Linked DNA regions of Oreochromis niloticus. The protein of the gene in region 1 purifies or fractionates together with the protein of each later gene. This does not show direct contact. Links are inferred from orthologs where the notes say so. Each region holds a gene or a part of one and is shown in the gene's direction. Other genes may lie near its edges.

The links.
Region 2: the proteins of ebna1bp2 (region 1) and ncl purify together in Homo sapiens (affinity purification with mass spectrometry; 3 studies listed by BioGRID and IntAct, with this or other methods). This does not show direct contact. The link is inferred for Oreochromis niloticus from reciprocal best matches to the Homo sapiens genes EBNA1BP2 and NCL.

What each region holds. Positions count from the first base shown.
Region 1 is NC_031981.2:33,035,937-33,043,601, forward strand, and holds ebna1bp2 (putative rRNA-processing protein EBP2), read left to right. Parts: upstream 1-4,647; 5' UTR 4,648-4,781; coding exon 4,782-4,877; intron 4,878-5,145; coding exon 5,146-5,229; intron 5,230-5,418; coding exon 5,419-5,591; intron 5,592-5,834; coding exon 5,835-5,958; intron 5,959-6,263; coding exon 6,264-6,353; intron 6,354-6,464; coding exon 6,465-6,540; intron 6,541-6,658; coding exon 6,659-6,749; intron 6,750-6,867; coding exon 6,868-7,030; intron 7,031-7,121; coding exon 7,122-7,169; 3' UTR 7,170-7,459; downstream 7,460-7,665. UniProt on the Homo sapiens protein: Required for the processing of the 27S pre-rRNA.
Region 2 is NC_031980.2:34,362,947-34,370,943, forward strand, and holds the start of ncl (nucleolin), read left to right. Parts: upstream 1-4,981; 5' UTR 4,982-5,149; coding exon 5,150-5,167; intron 5,168-6,219; coding exon 6,220-6,321; intron 6,322-6,425; coding exon 6,426-6,531; intron 6,532-6,953; coding exon 6,954-7,088; intron 7,089-7,224; exon of another isoform or gene 7,225-7,364; intron 7,365-7,446; coding exon 7,447-7,701; intron 7,702-7,922; coding exon 7,923-7,997. UniProt on the Homo sapiens protein: Nucleolin is the major nucleolar protein of growing eukaryotic cells. It is found associated with intranucleolar chromatin and pre-ribosomal particles. It induces chromatin decondensation by binding to histone H1.

The sequences.
Region 1 (7,665 bases):
TGGTAAGGGTGGGAAGAAAGTGCAAACAGAAAATATGAGAAATGAGCAACAACAAACAATAAATATAAAAGAGATTTTTAGAGAAAGTAAACTCAAATCAGAATGTAACTTCCAAAAGTCAAAAATGCCCGGGGCACAGGAAGAGAAGGCAAAAGCATCTGGTGAACATGGTAAAAACTCTGCCTGGAAATATGAACACACTGATATTAGCGATCGCCGTAGTGTCTAAATAGGACTTCACAAATGCCACAGGGCTGCTGTTTTCTTTACTGGGGGTATGGCACAACAAAAAGCACAACATGAGCCATGGCATCATCCTCAAATTTAGCTTTGTAGTAATAATATTTGATCTTGAAAAGACTGGCAACATTATAGATGTAAGCCCATTCCTTGGAGGTCACACATGCTACCTGCTTAATACATCTCCTCATGGTTGACAGACAACAGAATATGGCTACTGTGTGGCTAGAGTAATACATGGGTATAGGCCGACTCTTTAGCAGTCAACTCACAGATGTTTTGATGGATGGAGAAGGAATGGATATCCACTCAAGAAAGGACAGATCAAGACAAAATGACCTAAAATACTTTTCCCAGTAATTCATCCAGTGTTGTTTACTTGCACATCCCTAAATCTCCTTAGGCTGATTGAGAGCCATAGGAGCTGAAGCACTCAGCCATCTTAGGCCCAGACATTCATGACTGTATTATTGTTTTTTTGTCCAATCCTCCAGCAACCAGGAATAACTCCAAAAGAGGAGCTTGACAGAGTGAATCCAACTTATTTTCAATCTGGTGTCAGGAAGCAGTCTGTTGCCCTGATATGAAGAGTGACAGCAGAATGGGAATTTAATAGACCGCATTTCTGTCTGGCTCAAGCGATTACAATGACAGAAATGTAAATTATGGGGGGTTTTTTTCTCCTTTTGAAGATGTCTCAGAGCAGGGCTCTGACCATGCAGAGAATGGAAGAATTAAGGGTGGTGATGTTCAAATTGTAGAAATCGATTTCCATCAGAATAGAATGAATGTCACTCTCAGGGGGGCTCAGACAGCCTCTGCTTTGAGGACTAGGAGGATAAAACACTGAAAGAGGCCGATGACATCTCAAATGAACAGCGGCTGTCAGCACAGAAGTCCCCAGTCTACTTCCTATCCTGCCCATCTGGTATTAGTGATAGCGAAACTTCTCTAACCTGCTGAGCTGTGAAATAAACAAAATTTGCATGGTTTAATACCAAACTAAATGTCTCATTAATATGCTAAAGTGACATGAAAAGATCATTCTTCATCATCAGTGTACATAGAAATCAGTTTGTTACTGCTAATTATTACATCTACAGTCATGGTAAGAAATATAAAGTGAACTCTCTTTAAATTCCAGTGTAGTAAATATAATCTGTCCACCAGTACTGCTTCCATAGGAATGAAGATAGTAAGTAGCAGCCAGGTGCTGATAATCAAATGCACTTGAGTCATAAGAAAGTGTGACCACCTCTTTGAAAGCTTTGGCAGTTTTCTGACCTGAAGCAGTCAGGTGAATTAGCACCGTGCCAAGGAAGAAAGACATCAGCAACAATCTTGAAGAAGCAACTGTTGCTCCCCATCAATCTAGAAATGGTTAAGGGCCATTTCCAAACAATTTGAAGTCTATCATTCTGCAGTGAGAAAGATTATTCACAAGTGGAAAACATGACACATTCATGACAGCTACCAATCTTTTCAGGAGTGGATTTGCCAGCAAATTCATCCCAAGGTCAGACTGTGCAATGCTCAGAAAACCTGAAAGAGCCAAAGTCTACATCTCAGACTCTACAAGCATCAGTCAGCATCTTAAATGTTAAAGTTCATGGAAAAACAATCAGCAAATGGCACAAGTATGGCTCTTCTCTCTAAACAGAACATGGCACCATTGCTTAGGTTTGCAAAGTCCGAACAAACCACAAAATGTCTAAAACAATGTATTTTGGATAGATGAGGCCAAAAAGGTGGCGTTTGGATAGAAGAAAGCCAAACACAGCATATCAGCACAAACACCTCATGGGGTGAAGATTTAGGCTTGTTTTGCAGCAACAGGCCCTGGACACCTTGTAGTCATTGAGTCAACCACGAGCTTCTCTGTATAATAAAATATTCTAAAGTCACACATGAGGTCATCTGTCTGACAGCTCAAGCTTGGGTCAACAGAAGAACAACCTCAAGCACAGCAGCAAATCTACAACAGAATTACTGAAAAAGAAAAGAATCAAGGTGTTGCAATGGTCCAGCCAAAGTCCAGACTTCAAACTGATAGAAATGCTCTAGCTGGACCAAAAGACAGCTGTGCATAAATGCCCACAAACCTCAATGAACTGAAGCAGCCTTGTAAGACAGGTGAGCCAAAATTTCTTTGTTACAATGTGAGAGACATATAGTCACTCCGGAAATTATAACTTCAAGTTACAGGTCTACAAGCTATTAAACAATTGGCTCTACTCAGTTTTTAACACATTTCTTCTGCATTTTGGCTCAGTGTAATATATCAGGTGTTGTTGTCTGTCCAAGGTTGCATTTACTTAATTTTAAGACTGGGTAAGGACCAGATGACGTTTTATTAACTGTGTCTTTTCACCATCACTGTATGTTCTAATTATTACAACTGTTATTCTAACACATTTCTGCAAGACTACTCTGAGCTTTCCTGACAAATCAAAGTAATGTCAGTAAGCCTGTAAAGTTGGATCACTTTTGTAGTCCAGGTGTCGTGAAAACGAGCCGCTTATTAAGAAGAAAGCTGTTCATGTTGCTATTAGTCAATCTCAAATGCAACCTTCAAAGAGATAATGAATTTAACTTTCAGTAACATAGATAAGAGCAGCAGTGTCATGTAAAGAGAAAAAAAGTTAGGATAAAATAGGCAAAATATTAAAATACTGCATTAGTTCCAGATTCAATATCTTTTGATGTTTTTTAGTTATTTGAATGGCGTATGAAAGCGAAGATCAAAGATGCTATGTGCTGTTTTGTTCAGTTAGCAGTTCTGATGCACAGTGCATAAGATAGGACACCAGCAACCACCCAGGTAATGACCACACAAAACAGTTTCAATATAGGGATATGTCTTATATTTTTCTTTAAGTTACATTCACACTGAGAAACCTGGAGACCACATAAAACAATGAAAAAAGGCAAAGATACTGTCTGTCTGATTCTGCTTTACTTTCTGGGTGATTATTGATTATCTGTTTCTTTGCTATGTGGCTATAATAAAGGTTTGCAATTACCTTGTCTTCCAAAGAAAACCATATCTGTTTAGCAGCATAAACATAACACAGCTAACCATTAATTGCATTTAGGAGTGTTTTACTCCTCACCACCCGAAAGGGTAAATTATCTCTTAGACTAAGTCTTAGTTTTAGTATGCACACTTTAAAGAATGTCAGCTCTTCGCCTTGCCCTTGGTATGGTTGAGATCCTTGCTTGACCACTTGAGATGAATCCCTTTCAAGTGACATTTTGAGTAAGATCAACTTACTTCCATGGTCACAGGCAAAGCACACCATTAGCATTCAGCACATACGCACTCTGGTTCTAACTGCAAGCCCTTCACTCTACAACTGCTACGTGACCACATAAGATGAACACAAACTGTCCTTCGCTAACATTAAAGTGAATGATTGTGACTCCCATTGGAAGTACTCTTCGGTTTTGGACATTTCAATGCTGATGGCCTTTGCATACGGCATATCCACTGGTTTCTCTCGGGTGCTAATCAAAATGTGTGTGATGTGCACTGGAGAGTTTAAAGAAAAAAGTTCCTTGGGTAGCATGACTAAAGAGGAAAGGATCACAGGCAGAGATCTGTATGTTAAAGACACACACAGGCTACATCCCAAGAAATAAACAATAAAAGAATTTATTTAATTTTGAATGTCTAATGAATGCAGAAACAAACTTTACTCAGAGCACCAGATTTTGGGCTGTCCTGATTTTCCCCACAGACAAAATGTTCATTGACAGTGACACTGGGCCAAAAACGCAGACATTTTTCTCAGTCGTGCCATGTCAAAGTGACAGAAATCGACTCAGGAATTGAGTAATGGAAAAGAAATGTCGATAGTTTCTGTCTTGATGAGGTGGCAAGTGAAAATCCTGAGTCTTCCTTTACACAATAGGAAAAGATTTAAAGTAGAATCTCTAAATTGACGTTAGACTGTAAAGTTCTCATATCGACCCATCCACTGTACTTTCCAGTCTGCGCAGGTGTACAACATCTCCTCTAAGAGGACTTATTTGATATTACACACTAGACGTAACGGAAACGTGTTTTCGTCAAAGACCGTAGACTTTTATACAGTCATTGGTTTTCGTAAACCACCCAAGGCATTTTATTTTATATGTTAAATCAAATTTAAAGACTGGAATGGAATTCAAAACAACATTTTTATCTATATGAAAAGCGGAGATTTCAATGAAATAAGATGATACGTGACTAAAGTTGCATCAGAAACTCTTCAACGAGCGAATCGGACATTGAGTTATCGGATAGTGTGACTTAAACGTTATTTACTTCTGTATTTTTTATTTTTTATTTATTTATTTACTTTTTCTGCGTTGGAATTTTTTCCGGGTAGGAACGATTATTTTTACACTTTTTATCCCCCGGCGAACTGAATAGGTAGGACGTTCAGAGGCGTCACTTCCGCTCCACGTGAAAGGCTCCTTATACTCCATGTGAGGAGCACTGTATATCCGAGGCGTATTTTACGTTTTAATATTGATAGTTCGCATATAGTCATCTCATGGTTATCGGCAGCAAGACTATGGCGTTCGTAGAGGAAGAGGCGCTGCTCGGTCAGGATTCAGAGGAGGAAAACAGTGAATTATCGGACGATGAGGTCAGTTTCCTAACATGCTAGCATCGTTAGCTAACCACATTCCTATTAAGTATTAGGGTTTTAAACGTCACTGTGCCTGCTGTTTATAAAGTTAATCAAACAAACAGAGACCTGGTACTATTATCAGTGTCGGAATCTTTATTTTTCTAATCAAGCTTTTTAGATAGCACGAAAGTTCACGTTTAGTAGGACCGTGTAGTCTTGCTGTAGCAAGTGGTGGTTTAGATAAGTCAGAGTTAATATTATTCATCTTCATTTCATTGCCCAGCTGCAAGAAGCCTTCGCAGCGGGGTTGTTGAAGCCTGGGATGAACGTTCTGGTGGATAAACCGAAAAAGTTAGTCAACAATGTGGTGAGTGGCATCTCACATCTTCTGTTAGTAGCAAGTTATGCTACACAGGGATGATCAACGTACTATAAACAACCATACCACTGTAATAGTTTTAAAGCAGCAATGGAACGGTTCTCGAAATTCCCTGTAAAGTGAATATAATAATATTGTTACTTGTTGTACCTTTATTGATCCTATGTTGTCACACAGGAGGGGTTGAAACAGTGTCTTGCTGATTTTCGTAAAGATCTTCCCTGGGTGGAGAGATTGGATCTGACCAACCTACCAGCTGCAAATATAATTTCTCAAGCTGAAGAGAAAGCTTCAGCGCCAGCCGCTGGAGAACTGGATGCTGATGATGATTTCCAGAGGGAGATGTTCTTGTACGTGACTGTTAATTTAGCTCAGTTTTATTTAAAGCATCACATATGCTTGTATTTTGTAACCACACTAATATAGTTTGGTTACGAGTCAGACAAAGAAATCACTTTTTTCAGCTAAAGAGTTACAAACATGCATACAGTGTTGAATGTTTTAGAGAATAGCCTAAAAAAAAATGCTGCAAAAATACAACACAGCTACAAAGAGACCATTCCAATTCTTTGGTGTTTTTTGTTAATTTACAGCTACCGTCAAGCTCAGGCTACAATCCTCGAGGCAATGCCACTTCTAAACAGGCACAGCATAGCCACCAAGAGGCCCGAAGACTACTTTGCAGAGATGGCCAAATCTGATCAGCATATGCAGAAGGTGAGCCTGGTCTCCTTTATAATGATGCAGGTTCAGTTTTGACAAATATGTTTAAAGCTCAAACTGTATTTCATTACATTAAACCAGCAAAGCATCAGCTGTTTGCTTTTTTTTTTCTCCTTACATGTTCCATAAAACCTGAAACACATAATTACAGTGATGTTGGAATCTAAGTATTAGTTCTCACCCAGATAGTAAAGTAATTAACATTTCTTTGCACCTACTGGTTCAGGACCTGAGTTTAGTTGTTCTTTTGTTCTGTCAGGCTTATATTCATATACCTTTTCATGTGTTGGTCTGTTCAGATCAGGAAAAAGCTGATCTCAAAGCAGATGATTATGGAGAGGTCAGAAAAGGCCAAGAAACTGCGTGAGCAAAGGAAGTTTGGCAAAAAGGTTGGTGACTGAGTTTAGAAATTCTTCTTAACACCTGTAAATGTTATATGTGTATGATACTTCGACTGTACATGGCTAAAAGACTGACTCTAATTTTGAATTTTTTGCCAGGTCCAAATAGAAGTGATCCAGAAGAGACAGCAGGAGAAGAAGGCCATGATGTCCGCTGTAAAGAAATACCAGAAGGGTGGGTGTTTACAAGTGTAGCATGGACGTTATTTCCTTATTTCTTTTATCGTTTTGTCACTATACCACTGTGGGTGCATCACTTATTGAGCACTGAGAACAACATCTTCTCTTTCTAGGAATGACCGACAAACTGGAATTCTTGGAAGGTGACCAGAAGATGAATAAAGAATCTTCTCAGGGCTCAAAGAAAGCAGTGAACAAAAAGGGGTAAGTTTGAACAGCAGTGCACACAGCAGTCATTGCTTATTTTTTTCTTTGCTCCCACTTCAGATTTGTGGTATTTTTAAAATGAAATTCACAATTTCCCTTCTTTTTTTTTCTACAGGCCCAGCGCTAAGAGAAAATACAAGGACCAGAAGTTTGGCTTTGGAGGCAAAAAGAGTGGAAAGAAGTGGAACACCAAGGAAAGCTACAACGATGTTTCCGGTTTCCGTGCCAAAATAGCTCACGGCAAGGGAGGGAAGAAGGGGAAAGGAGGAAAACAAAATGTGAGTCTCTCACACACACAGTTAGCCATTGACAGTTTTATTCAAATCAGTCAATAAAAAAACAAATAATTTCTTTCTCTTTGACTCCCAGAAACGTCCAGGCAAGTCTGTGCGCAAGAAGATGAAGAATCGCTCTTAGAGACTGGCGGGCTGCTCAGCAGACTGGACTTTGCTCTCTGCTTTTTGGCAGGATTTGCCTTAAGGGACTATGAGCTCTTCTTCTACATTTTTTGGTACAATATACCTTTCGTACATGCATCTGGATTGATATGGAGGTCCATATTAATCATATTCAAACCACAGATGGACTGAGTCCGATCTTACAGCTGGGGAAGTTATTCAAAGGGCCTGTAAAGCCAAGAATGGACTGCACACAGCTCCAAAATACAGAGCTTTCCTAAGTTTGAGGACAATGTTATTTGCTGTATATACACTGATATTTGCATCTGTGGCTGCAGTTGTCCCTACCCTAAGGTGGTTTTAGATCCACTCTCTGTGATTACACCTCAGTATCTCCACCTTCTCAATGACACACTGTTCTCCTGAGGTTTGTGTGTTGTTTTACTTTTCTCACTCAGCTTTTTGACTCATTGATTCTCTCCCATGTTACATGACATTTTATAATATTGAGCAGC
Region 2 (7,997 bases), on another chromosome or scaffold:
CGGACATTCCATGTGCACTTACATCTTTGATCTCGGTGTCTTTGTGTGTTCCGTGAAACTAGTCAATTCTAGTTGGTGAGCATTTTCTGCCTGGCTTCTGGAGGTTTTGTCAGAAGAGAAACAACGACTGCCCTGCTGTTAGATGGAGCGCCATTCATTTTTATTCAGTTCAATTCAGTTTCATTTCTATGGCGCCAATTCACAAGAAACAGTGACCTCGAAGCGGTTTATGTTGTAAAGACCCTACAATATTAGAAAGAAAAGAAAAACCAAGCAATCATTCGACCCCCTCTTGTTGATGGTGGGAAGAAAAAACTCACTTTTAATAGGAAGAAACCTCCAGAACCAGGCTCAGGGAGGGGCAGCCATCTGCTGTAGCCGGTTGGGTTGATGTTACAAAAGGCACACTTTGGTACAGAGAGCCAGAGTTTAACATTTACTAAAGATTTTATGCTGCTTGGATTTTGAAAAAGTGTTTCAAACATTAGCAAATATCTGAAACTCTGTGTTATCAGATAAAATGTTTATATGAAACAATAAGGATTTGTTGAGTGCTGCATCTATACTGCTGCATTCAACCTAGCATGATCTACCCACACTGTTGAAAGCTCTTGCACAAATTTGCTGCACAAATAGAAGAAAACACTGAAAATTTACATTTTGACTTAAAGCGATCTTTAGAATTCAGGCAATAACACTGTAATCCCAAACCACTAATTAAAAAGATGATAGAAAGCCACTTCCTCCTAATGTTCCTCTAATTCTGTTGCACATTACATCCAGTTACCAGTTGGTAAATTTAAGAGCGATATTATTTAAAATAAGCAGTAAATTCACCTTAAAATTATCCATCCATCCATTCTCTTATGCTTCTCCAATTCATCATGGGGAGGGGGGAGTAAATGGTAAATGGTAAATGGCCTGTATTTATATAGCACCTTACTAGTCCCTAAGGACCCCAAAGCGCTTTACATATCCAGTCATTCACCCATTCACGCACACATTCACACACTGGTGATGGCAAGCTACGTTGTAGCCACAGCCACCCTGGGGCGCACTGACAGAGGCGAGGCTGCCGGACACTGGCGCCACCGGGCCCTCTGACCACCACCAGTAGGCAACGGGTGAAGTGTCTTGCCCAAGGACACAACGACCGAGACTGTCCAAGCTGGGGCTCGAACCGGCAACCTTCCGATTACAAGGCGAACTCCCAACTCTTGAGCCACGATCGCAGGATGTACCGTAGGGTACATCCTGCACAGACAGCCAAACTGTTGCAGGAATAACATACTTTAACATTATATAAAGATGATATATAAGCAAAATGGCTTTTTTATCTCGTAGTTTCCAAACTAAAAGGCTTAAAACAAGACAAGCATATAGAGAAAAGGCCATATACGCGCGATATTAAAAAGGAAAACAAACACACCCAGATTATAATAAAGAAGCATAAAAAAGATAACAAATCGTGCTCAGTTGTGAAACTCTAAAAAGGTCCATTGCTCAAAGATTTCATGGTGTAATTACACAAAAGGGGGTGAGAGCCAGAAAAATACAGAGAGAACACTTTACAAGCTAATTAATACAGTAAAGTCAATGTAAAAGTCTTTTCAAGGATTTCCTTTCTAATACCATGAAACATGATATTTACGGTGTGAGTGTTGTGAATGTGTGCTGACTTTGAGGTTGATACCGATTTGCAAACTGGAGAGAAGTACAACTGACAGAAGCAAACCGAGAGTGCACGTGTACTGTGAAAACACATTTGTAATTATAAATTAGATGTGCTTGTCTCTTTTTTGTGAACCTATATTATTGACTGTAGGATGGTCAAATTCATAGTAACACAACTTTAAACACACACACATACAAAACAGGCCCTGAGGCTGTTGATCGGCTGGGGTTATCCCACAAAACCATTTCTAGGGTTTATAGAGAAGTTTCTAAAAAAAAAAAACATCCAGTGAGCAGCAGTTCTCTAGATGAAAATGTCTTCTTGATTACAAAGGATCAAGGCAGAATTGGAGACTGTTTTGAGCTGACAGGAAGGCAACAGTACCTCCAATAAACATTTGTTACAACTAAGGTATGCAGAAGAGCATGCACAACATGTTGAACCTTGAAGAAGATGTGCCACAGCAGCAGAAGACCGCAAAAGCTGCCACTCTTGTCAGGTAAGAACAGGAAACTGAGGCTATAGTTCACACAGGCTCAACAAAAATGGACAATGGCAGACTGAAAAAATGTAAACTGGTCTGATCGGTCATCATTTGGATGGTAGGATCAAAATCTGGCATGCAAGCATGCATCCATCCTACTTTGTATCAGTGATTCAGCTTGATGCACTGGTGAGAGGGATATTTTCTTGGCACACTTTGGGCCCCTTGTGTCCACCTGTGTATTGTTGCTGACCATGTGCATCCCTTTATGACCATCTTCTGAAGAATGCTTCTAAGAGGATAACGAGTCACAAAGCTCAAATCACCCAAATCTGTTTTTCTCAACATGAGTTCATTGTATTGAGAAAGCCTGTGCATTCACCAAATCTCAGCCCAGTAGAACACATTTGGGATGTGATGGATTGGAAAATTCACATCATGGATGTGATGCTGACAAACTGCAACAACTGTGTGACGCTATCGTGTCAATATGGACCAAAATCTCTGAAGAGTGTTTCCAGCACCTTGTTGAATCTATATCATGAACAATTAAAAGCAAAAAGGGCTCCGGTCCAACCTTGTAGTGGAAAGACATAACTAATGAAGTGGCATTGATGCAGAGGGATTGAATCTTCCCATTTCCTGAACATAGGGAGCCAGGGATACCCCTTCATGGAAAACATTACTAAGAAATAAAATGAAAGGGCTGTAAAGACAATGGGAAATTCTGTGCATCTTTCCTTTGTGATTTTGTATTCTTTTAGTACCATATCACCCCATTAGGGCTCTTCGCTCTCAGACTGCTGGTTTACTTGTTGTTCCTAGAGTATTTAAAGGTAGAATGGGAGGCAGAGCCTTCAGCTTTCAGGCCCTTCTTCAGCTTCCAATTTGGATTTGGAAGACAGACACTATCTCTACTTTTAAGATTAGGCTTAAAACTTTCCATTTGATAAAGCATATCAGGTGAATCAGGTGACCCTGAATCCTCCCTTAGTTATGCTGCAATAGGTGTAGGCTCCTGGGGGATTCCCATGATGCACTGAATGTTTCTTCTTCAGTCACCTTTTTCACTCACTGTGTTTAAACACATCTTTGTATTCAATTATCATTAATCTCTGGCTCTTTTCCACATCATGTCTTTGTCCTGTCTTCATCCATTTACCTTCAACCGGTCGCAGCAGATTGGTGCCCCTCCTTGAGCATTGTTCTACTGGGGGTTTCTTCCTGATAAAAGCTAGTTTTTCCTTCCCACTGTTGCCAAAGCGCTTGCTCATAGGGGGTCATATGATTGTTGCTGAAAGACAGCAGTGAATAATTGGACAAGAGTCAGAGTGACAGGAGGGTTTTTGCAAAGAGGCATACCTGTTCATTCTGCAAATTCAGCATAGACACTGCTGTGTAGTTGTATGTACCTTTGTTAACTCAATATGGCAATTTCAGTAGCTCTTTTTCTTTTGTTGTTGTTGTTTTTTTGTTTTGTTTTTTACACAAAAACAGTTTTTTCAGTTATACTGATATGCTTTAAAACCACCAACAGTGGGACGACTGTAATAACAGTCAACTACAGTTGTGATCACAAGTCCAGAATGTCACAGCAAGACTAAGAAAAGGGGGAAAAGTTGGACAGAATGCAACATTTTGTACAGGTAGACAGGTAGAACAATGGCTACTCTGTGAGCTTTCTGACTACAAAAGATATTGAAGTTCGAGAGAATGGTTAGATTATCATTATTTTCATTATTATCATTATTATTACAAAGAAGAAGGGACCAATAAAGTTACATTATCTTTCTCAAATCAAAGGTAGCTGTAATTCACTGAGACTAGTCTGTAAGACCGAGTGATGTTAAATGCAATGCTGCCTCTGTGTGGTGTTGAGGGTTAATTACTCAAACGTGCTCTTCATGTTGCCCTGGGAATCAGCCGGCTGGCTCCAGGATTCAATTGTGCAACAGAAAAACAATGTATGAATATTTACATTTAAAATTATCTACAATGTAAAAGTGGTAACTTAATGGCGATTAAAAAGAGGTTCATTCACTGCAGAAAAAAAAGCCTAAATATTATTATTATTATCATTTTAAATCTACCAAAAAGGCAACAAACACCTATTGCTTACATCCTTCCTGTGTGTAGTCATCCATGCAAAGGCAAACTCTGAGCATGGAAAACCCCTGCATAGAGGGGTTTTTTTATTTTTAAGTTTTATTTAAATGTATACAGTTACATGAAATACATGTACTAAAACTGGACTGAACTACTATGTATACCCCCACTTTGAAGTATTTAGATTATACTATACTATACTAGTTGGGAACTATCACTGTTCACTGTGTAGCGTGTACCTCGTGGTGGACTACACGTGGTTGATAGTTTGGCAACCGTGCCGAACCACGTGGCCATGTAAACAGCTGTATGGTATATGTGACAATAAGCTGTATATGGTTTATGTAGCGTTAAGTCCGGGAAATTGCCGAAAATAGTTTTCTTTAACATTTTAACTGTAAACATCTATAACTATACGTATATTAAAAACAAAACCATGATAATAATAATAATGATATAATAACAATGTAAATAATACATGTTCATGTTAAATACAGACTGTCATAACATTGACTTTAAAGGTTAAACACGGTAGATTTGACAGTGCTGCCTAGTATTTTTGTCATGTATTTAGTGATATAGTGAGACGAGAATAGTTATACAGTATTTCCTTGGAGTAGTAAAATTCAATGTTTCCTGTATGTGGGGTGAGGCGCGGGCACGACGCAAATACATTAGCTTGTGATTGGTAGAGACAGTCATGTGGGCGGGTCGGCGAGAGCGCGCGAAGAAGGGGAGTACAGAGCGAGTCTTCGTCGTCTCTGTCTTTCCTGTCCAATGTCCCATCGAGTAGGCAGGTCCACGTGCATACATTAGCTATTCTTTTTTAAATTCATCTTCAGACGTCCAGCTTCTCGTGTTTTATTGAAACACACAACAGCACAATGGTGAAGTTAGCAAAGGTAAGATTACGTCATTCTATTTTAAAATAGTGCGTGCGTTTGTGATAGAAAGAGGGCTTGTGTTTACGCACGAGGCCTTTAAGCAGAAGTTGGTGCGTTTGTTAAAAAACGGGGGGTGAACTCGCGGAAAAAGAAAATGTCCGCTCAGGTAAAGCTGCGATTGTCGCCTCTTTTTTTTTTTTTTTTTTTTTTTTTTTTTAAATTAATCAACATGGTGGTGGTGTTGCCGCATTTACTACGCCTTTTTCGTTTGCGATCAGCCATGTTTGTGCCTCGCTTTTGGCTCTCTGGCCTGCTAAGCTAAACTGCTGCTTAGTGTGGATTTCGTGCGCGCTCTCGATTTAAGTATGGCGTATAAAAAGACTTAAACAAAATCAATTTATAGCCAGCCTGCCAACCTGTACCAACATTTGTTAGAAAACTATTGTAAAAACCGAAAATTTGAGCACGCGGCTAGCTTAACAACTAGCATTAGCGTATTCATACCCGGACTTGATTCTAATTTCCTTCATTTTGTGGAAATAATGGTAGTTCTCGGTGTTAAGTTTAAACTGTCCCACTTAAACACTTTCTGTCATGTAATGGACTTTCTGGATAACTGTTCGGCATATGTTTATATATATATAATTCTTTTTTTAATGCTTGTCAGCAAATGGTAAAATTACCCAGCATGCTAGCTGACCGACCTCTAGAGCTCCACGTGGGTTCTGCGCCTGCTCTGAGTGACACACGAGGCAAGCAACCAAAACCGAGAAAATCCATCGGCGAGCTCATGTGTAATTTGAGTGGCTTATTTTAAACTCACGTGACCGTTTGCCGTTGATGATTTAAATATTGTACCAGCAGCACGGCTCTCCTGTTTTATATTTTAACCGTGGAATTCCACGTGGCCTAAAGCCCCTCATGTTTGCGGACATGCTGCAGCGGGTGCCATGATTGTTAGACCCTCTTCTTTACCGGAATCTATGCTTGGCTACTTGTAGGCTCCATTATTGTTGGGTTTTAAAAACATTGGTAATAACAGTTTTTGCATTTTGGGATTTCTTTTGAAGGCAGCAAATAAGCAAGCAGCTCAGAAGAAAAAGGCCCCTCCACCCCCCAAAGAAGTGGAGGAGGAATCCAGCGAAGAGGACAGCAGTGATGAGGAAGAAGAGGTACATAGACTTTGACTCAAGTATTTTATGGCTAGAAAAAAATATTTAAAATGTGGTATTAAGTGTTTTTATTTTTGTATTTTTTTTTTTTTTTAATACTGCAGGCTCCACCACCTAAAGCGGTGAAGAAAGCCACACCAGCCAAAGGCACCAAAGTTGTTGGAAATGGCACTCCTGCCAAAAAAGCAGAAAGTGAAGATGATGATTCTGGTAAGTAATAAAGGACCAAAACGAAACTAATTGAATGATACTCATATTTCACATAACTCACATAATCAATTGGGCTTTAATATATAGAGATTGACCTATTGTGTGTGTTTTGGTGTTTAAGGATCATCCAAATGTTAGAAAGTGAGTCCCTCGAACTTTGAGCGATGCCTGATGCATTTAATAGTTATAAATGTGTTGCTTTTGACATTTTAGTTACAACAGTGAAACAGATGGTCTTTAGAAAGAAAACCTTCGAAGTTATGAAAGCTGCTGTTTCCATTTAACTGGTGAATGTGTCGTGTTGTCCAAATTTATAATATACGTTCTTGATCTAAATAAATAGGGTAAAACTTCACACTGTACATCATTCTTAAAGTAAGCATAATATTGCCTAAGACAATTTTGCTATTTATCATATATAGATGAATCATCAGAGGAGGAGGCCCCCCCACCAAAGAAGACACCTGCAAAGGCAACTCCAGCCAAAAAAGCACCAGCTAAGGCAGCTGCTGCAAAAGCAGAGGAGTCAGATGATGACGATGATGATGAGGAGGATGGTAAGGCTTTTGGTATTGTGTGACTGATAGTAATTACTGTTGTACTGTGTTTTTAACAAAACTGTTGATGGCTTCATTTTAATCTGATCCAAGCATTTGTGCTAACAATCTGATGATGTAATGCGTCCCAAAACATCCTCCATTTCTTGGCATGCATGTGGTTGTTTAGTACTCATGTGTGTAATGTACGGAGGAAAAACAAAGACAGCGCTATGTCTTCGGTACCGGTGTGTATTTGACTGTCTGCCGGTCCTATCCTCAATCGCTGTTACAACCTAATGCCCTGTTTTGAACTCTGAAGAGGTTTTGTTGAAAATTTTCTGCAATTAAAACGAAAGCTCGTGTTTTTCTTGTCTAGATGAGTCTGAAGAAGAGGCCCCACCACCCAAGAAGGCAGCCAAGCCAGCTGCTAAGCCTGCAGCAAAGCCCCCAGTGAAGGCTCAGCCTGCAAAGGAGTCCTCTGATGATGACGACGACGATGATGATGACGAGTCAGAAGAGGAAGCCCCTCCCCCCAAGAAGGCTACTCCAGCAAAGCCAGCTGCCAAGGCTGCAAAGGCTCAGCCTGCTAAAGAAGAGTCATCTGAAGAAGATGATGATGAAGACGATGATGGTAAGACTGAGCCTCGCATTTCTCTTTTTTGTTTTTAACAGGAGCCATTGTCTTTGAAAATAGTTAACACTGTATGATGATCAACAAGGGACTTAATACTGATCACGTATGATGTCACCTTTTGAACTATCTGACCCACAGTAATACTCGTTTTCAATGCATTTGAATTCGGCCACAGTTACTGTGAGATTCACGTCATTGGCAATGATTCTGCTTTTTAGACTCTGAAGAGGAAATGGACACTACTCCTGCTCCAGCAGCCACCAAGGCAAAGAAAGCAGGCATGGTTAAAGCCA